2 linked regions of the Kluyveromyces lactis genome follow. The protein of the gene in region 2 interacts with the protein of the main gene of each other region in a biochemical or structural test. Links are inferred from orthologs where the notes say so. Each region holds a gene or a part of one and is shown on either strand. Other genes may lie near its edges.

Evidence for each region. The genes of interacting proteins can lie anywhere in the genome.
Region 1: the proteins of UBA2 (region 2) and AOS1 form a complex in vitro, tested with the Saccharomyces cerevisiae proteins (2 studies listed by BioGRID). The link is inferred for Kluyveromyces lactis from reciprocal best matches to the Saccharomyces cerevisiae genes UBA2 and AOS1.

Annotation. Positions count from the first base shown.
Region 1 is NC_006041.1:431,034-433,711, forward strand, and holds AOS1 (E1 ubiquitin-activating protein AOS1), read left to right. Parts: upstream 1-966; coding exon 967-994; intron 995-1,106; coding exon 1,107-2,107; downstream 2,108-2,678. Other genes in the region: HDA3 (Hda3p), read right to left, coding at 1-591; GTPase-activating protein SEC23, read right to left, coding at 2,265-2,678. UniProt on the Saccharomyces cerevisiae protein: Could be involved in a ubiquitin-related process important for DNA damage tolerance.
Region 2 is NC_006041.1:285,593-289,357, reverse strand, and holds UBA2 (E1 ubiquitin-activating protein UBA2), read left to right. Parts: upstream 1-1,370; coding exon 1,371-3,245; downstream 3,246-3,765. Other genes in the region: isocitrate dehydrogenase (NAD(+)) IDH2, read right to left, coding at 1-533; KLLA0_E03081g (Rho GTPase-activating protein), read right to left, coding at 3,543-3,765. UniProt on the Saccharomyces cerevisiae protein: The dimeric enzyme acts as a SMT3 E1 ligase. It mediates ATP-dependent activation of SMT3 and formation of a thioester with a conserved cysteine residue on AOS1.

The DNA.
Region 1 (2,678 bases), about 150 kb from region 2:
AATATCTTTTGGGAAAGAAGACTCTATTTGTTTAATATTATCCGAGCAAATGAGATGGCAAGTACATGAGAAATTTTTTGGCTTATTCTTTGTCTTTATAGTTTGGCCATCATGTCTAACAATATTCACCTTATTACCAAGTAGGAGAGCCTCTAAGAGATCCATAGTTCTGTCGGACCTTGCCATTAATACAGTGTGTGTCTCATATTCTTGAACAAGAGTAATAAGATCTCTCAAGACAGCAAATTTTCCCGATGTCTCAGCAAGGTGGCCAGGAATGTCCTTTGTTATCAAGGATTTTGGCATAAAATGGTCGATTAAAAGGTAAGGGTGTGTAGCAACATATTCACTATTCAAACACATCGATTTCATAGACCCTATTACGATATCTTCTCTATAATCTGATGTTTCAAAGTACTTCAAAATATCTGAGTAATGCAACGATACAATTTGGTCGGTTAACTCTTTCTGATATAAGCACATGGATGCAGGTAACCAATAGTCTCCAGACGTGTCTCCAGAAACTCCCATTGTTTGTGCATCGACAATCGCAGGATCCGGCGCAGTATCTAAAATCTTCAGTAAATCCATGATGCACTGAATTTTTCTTTCTATTCAACTAATTGGACGATTTAATGCTCTGGATAGTGGAAGTTCTCACTTTTGAGTGCTGCTGACACTAATTCTCAGATTAGCAATTGTTTTCACAGTAAGGCGTCTGACGGTACTATAGCCTGCACATCATAATTCCTGCTGTTTATACTTTTAAACCAATGCTCATTTTTTGATCAAAAAAAATCCAACCGTAATAGAAGCCTAACATGAAATTAAGATCACTCAAGCTGAGAAGTTCATGAACGAAAATAGTGAACTGTGCTAACTGGAAGCATTGATAAGAGTCGACATACTTGGAGAATTAGTTTTACAATTAGCTAATAACTAACCGATTGTAGTGACGTACAAATAATGAGTGGCGCAGGAGAATTGAGTGCAGGTATGTCAACATGATAAGATATTTCAATCATGATATCAAGTAATGAATATAACCGGAATAGGCTGGGAAAGTGAGTTTATTTACTAACAACAGGGCATTCTAATCCCAACAGATGAAATTGCTCTATACGATAGGCAGATCCGGTTATGGGGAATGACAGCCCAGGCCAATATGAGATCTGCCAGTGTTTTGTTAATTAATTTAGGTGCGATTGGTAATGAGATAACGAAAAATATCGTTCTAAGCGGGATTGGTTCATTGACCATATTGGATTCTCATGATGTAACAGAAGAAGATTTAGGTGCCCAATTTTTTATCGGAAAGGATGACATTGGCACGAAGAGATTGGAGGCCGCAAGGCGCCATATTGAAGATATGAACCCTAGAGTTAAGTTAACAGTGGACATATCAGATCTTCAGTCCAAGAATAAAGAATTCTTTTCACAATTCAATCTAATAGTCATAACGGACTTATTTCCCGCAGATATTGAAAAATTGAATGAAGTGACTAGGGAACTTAATGTACCTATCTATGTGGCAGGTATCAACGGGCTCTCTGGTTACATTTTCACTGATCTAGTGGAGTTTATATCCACTGATGAAAAGGTGAAGAGTGCTCGTCCTGAACAACTCGGTAAACAGAGCCCCAATAAGGAAATCATCAATCTATCTGAACGGAAGGATGAAGAAAATAATGCAGTTTATCAGGTCATTACCACCAAACATACTTATAAGCCATTGAAAGAACTTCTGAAATCTGCTACACTTATTAACCAATTGTCTAGACGGCAATTGAAAAGAATGACTCCAAAGGTTCCCTTAACTCTTACACTATTACAGTATGAAACTTTTCAAAACATAAATTTAGATGATTTTAGGAAGAAGTATGATTTAACTCGTAAGCAGCTTGGTTTATTAATTGGAGAAATCAGCAATGATACCATTGAAGAATTTGTTGAACAAGCCGCTGTAGAAATCAGTCCTGTGGCAGCAATCATTGGAGGAGCCGTTGCACAAGACGTGATAAATATTCTAGGGAAAAGGCAATCTCCGCTTAATAACTTCGTTGTTTTTGATGGTACGTCTTTAGATATGTGGGTATTCGAACTTTAATGACCCTGGTTTAGTAATTTAGCAATCAGTATCATTATATAGGACTAATTTATATAACATATGCTCATAAAACGCTTTATGAGATTTTTATCAAATATGTACCTGGTTGGAAAGCATAAGCATGGTATGTTCAACACTACTGCCATCAGGACAATAATTATGTTTGACCATTAACAGTTACTTGTTGCAAGTGGGACATGAAATTTTGTAAAGAAACATCATCAGTCAACACGATAGTTGAACCAGCGACAGCACCACTTTGATAACTGTCAGATGGGTTCAACTTGGATAACAAGAATCTGGCTTGCGAACCGCCAGCCTCAGTATCAATGAATCTTGGTAGAGGGAATCTGTCAATCAATAATTCTGCTGCTTCAAGCTTTGGTTCTTCTAATAAGGACTTGAAGTCTGCATACTGCGGATCATCTTGGTAACCTGCTTTTCTCCATTGAGCAATCTGTTCACCGTGATAAATCAAAATATAAAAGAAGGTATCCAACAACAAAATTGTGTTTGGTTTCACTGAAACAGAATCTAACAACACTGGTTGAGGTTCTTCTTCCATGGAGAA
Region 2 (3,765 bases):
GCATCCTGAGTAATCAACTTGATGGATTGGACGACACCTGGAGCAACAACGTGTTCGATACCAGAATATTCACCTTCAGTGTTTTCTCTGATCAAAACTAAGTTAACGTTTTCGTAAGTAGTCTTGTAACCCTCGATAGATTTAGCTGGACGCACATTAGCGAACAAACCGAAAGTCTTTCTTAAGGTTAAGTTCAAGGATCTGTGACCCTTACCAATTGGAGTAGCCAATGGACCCTTCAAAGCAATCAAGTTCTTGTTAATTGAAGCAACAGCTGGATCTGGAATAGTAGTTAATCCGTTAACGAAAATTGGACTCACATCACAACTTTCCCATTCAATAGGAACCTTGGCTGCGGAAAAGATCGCCTTAACGGATTTGGAAATTTCTGGACCAACACCATCACCTTCAATGAAGGAAACAGTGTACTTACCAGTCTTTGGGTTTGGCTTACCGGTGTATCTACCGATACTTGGTTGTTTCTTGGTAGCCAAAAATCTACACGATTGCTTCACAATTGATTGTCTGAACATGTCTTTATAGTATGATTGTTGAGGAGAACGGAGAGAAATAATGAAATCCCAAAAATATGTGTCTGACGAATTTCGTTGATATTGTGTCAAATCAGTGACGGGTTACGTTCGTTTTGACTTGAAGATACGAATTGAGTTATTTCAGTTCGTCGTTACGTTGATTCTCTGTTTAATCTTACTCTAGAAGATAAACGATTAATTGGAAAAAATGAAAACCACAAAATAACACTGGTATATATACACCCTTTTATCTGCTTTTGTATCACTCAACAGTCGGAAAGACAGAACCTTACCTCGAGAAAACGAGCTTATATTTATCCGTGTTCAATTGCAGAAATCGACAGGTATTCTGAAATCCTTTATTTTAGGATATATATATATTCGATTTATATTTCTCAGATACTTAATGTAATTTCCCATATGCATCAACATTAACTGAGCACACATAGGCTCGAAGTAGTGCAGCGAATTGGAAAACATCTCGTCATGGAAATCGTTTCGGGACCGAGAAAAGGATGATGGTTCACGGAGGGTAACTCCGAACACGGCCTCGGTTTCAGTCATGTGATGTGAAAATTATTTGCACGTGACTGTGTTTTTTTTCTCTGCTGTTTTCATTGTATCGTTGAAAAATAGTAGCTGGCCATCCATTGAATATTATGAACCTTCCTTTAAAGAGTGCAACATTACTTGTTTGGACAACTACCCTTTAAAAGGAAAAAAGTATACTCAGCTTACCATTTGAAACATCAAATTGTTGATATTTTCCATTGATAACCATTTAAAGTTTTTAGCTAAAGACTTAGAGCTCAACCAATTGTTTGGCATATATTCACGATGGCAAGAGAGACGAATTTGGTAAAATGCATAGGTAAAGAAAGCTTTGAAAAGCTGCGCGATATGAAGGTGTTACTTGTTGGCGCAGGTGGAATTGGCTGTGAGCTTTTGAAGGATTTGATTTTGTTGGAAATAGGTGAAATCCATATCGTTGATTTGGACACTATTGATTTATCGAATTTGAACAGACAGTTTTTATTTAGGAAGAGAGATATTAAACAACCTAAAAGTAATACTGCAATGAAAGCAGTTCAAAGGTTCAGCAACTCTAAACTAGTTTCATATCAGAATAATATCATGGATACAGAAAAGTTCCCACTTTCGTGGTTTGATCAGTTTTCGATTATATACAATGCATTGGACAATCTAGCGGCAAGAAGATACGTCAATAAGATGTGTCAGTTCACTAATAAACCTTTGATCGAATCTGGGACTTCGGGATTCGATGGATACATACAGCCAATCTTCCCAAGTGTCACTGAATGCTTTGATTGCACCACTAAGGAGACACCAACTACGTTCCCGGTCTGTACCATTAGATCCACGCCATCACAGCCAATCCACTGTGTGGTTTGGGCCAAGAATTTCCTATTTGGCCAACTTTTTGCAGAATCCTCAGAAGAGACCGTAAATGATCAAGATTTAGGTACTGATGATAAAGAAGAAATCGCCCGCATCAAAGAGGAGACTAACGAATTACATGCTCTCCAGCAGTTAGTCAAGTCCGGCGATGAGACGAAAATCACAGATATTTTAAAGAAATTGTTCGTCGATGATATCAATAAACTTCTAAAGATTGAAAATCTTTGGAAAACGAGAGTGAAACCAACACCTTTAGGTGCTTTACTACCATCTGATAATATCCCAACAGATCTAGCTCAGGTATGGACATTGCAAGAAAATGTAGATAAGTTTATCGAAGTTACGAAGACATTGATGTTGAGATTAAGGCAGGAACCATTCATAGAATTCGATAAGGATGATGACGATACCTTATTGTTTGTAGCTTGTGCCGCGAATATCAGATCTTACATCTTCCACATTGCACCTAAATCTGTCTTTGATATTAAACAAATGGCTGGTAACATTATTCCTGCCATTGCCACTACAAACGCGATCATCGCCGGTCTTTCTTCATTGGTTTCTTTACGTGTTCTAAACTTGTTGAGTAACGTATCAAATAATCCTTTAGAAATTCCAATGGCATTTACGGCAAGGGCAAGTAATATCACCACAAATAGGTATCTATCGAATCCAACTCTCGCACCCAAGAATCCTCATTGTTCAGTATCTTCTAACATTCAAAGAGCCGTACTGAAAATACCAAAGGCAATTGTTGAGCACATGTCTTTGTACGATCTTAATCAGAAAATCATTTCAAAATATGAGTTCACTGGTGAATACTCCGTTCTCGATACTAATACTAACAGCTTATTGTACGATTTTGATTTTGATGATTTAGAATGCCGGAAGCTTTCAAGATTCAACTTCAGAACTGGTACTTTTCTTCTTTATAAAGACGAGGAAATGGAAGATGGTGCTCAATTAAGGCAGTCAATTGAGTTCTACTTGGAATTTGTACCAGAAAATAGCGGGGAAGACCTTCAGTTACCAAATCTACCAAGAGATACATACACTTATCATTCCCCTTATGAGAATGCAGAGGATGAACAAACAGCTGTCGATGCAGACCAAGATAGAACTGAAGACCATATTCAAGCCATCGAAACCCTGATAGTAGATGATGAGCCTGCCGAGGATGAAAGGAATAATTTGAAGAGGCATCTTTCAAATAGTATTCCATCTCCACCAACAAAGACACCCAAGTTGAATGCATCACAATCTGATGAAGATGATCTTATCCTGCTCGATTAATTGAGCATCGCTAGTCTTCCATATCTATAGATATCTGTTTTACAGTGATGGATATATATATATATATAAACGCACATTAAAGAACTGTAATTATAATAGTACAACATTTTTTGGAGTTTTATTACGTAGTAACATATGGCAAATATGATGAGGAAAGTACAAACAATGATTACAACTGCCAGAAAACCAAAACTGAAAAATAAAGAAGAATTCAACCATTATCATAGATGAGAAAACAGTTATATGCCCATTTGCCAAAGTTGAAATATTGTGTGACAAACATTACGGTATATCAGGTTATTCTCGAATAGATGATCTTGAATGACTTTTTAGTCTTTGCAACCAAGATTCTCGTTTTTTGGATCTTGGTTGACGTTCCTCTTGGCCATCTTCGAAGTCGCTGTCTGTCTTTGAGGTTGGGAAATCATCTTTACTTATGCCCACTATTGAAGGCAGTTGTAACATTTTTGCACTATTTGTGCTGCCCGTCTTGCGCAGCATAGGCGAAGATGGTCTTGAA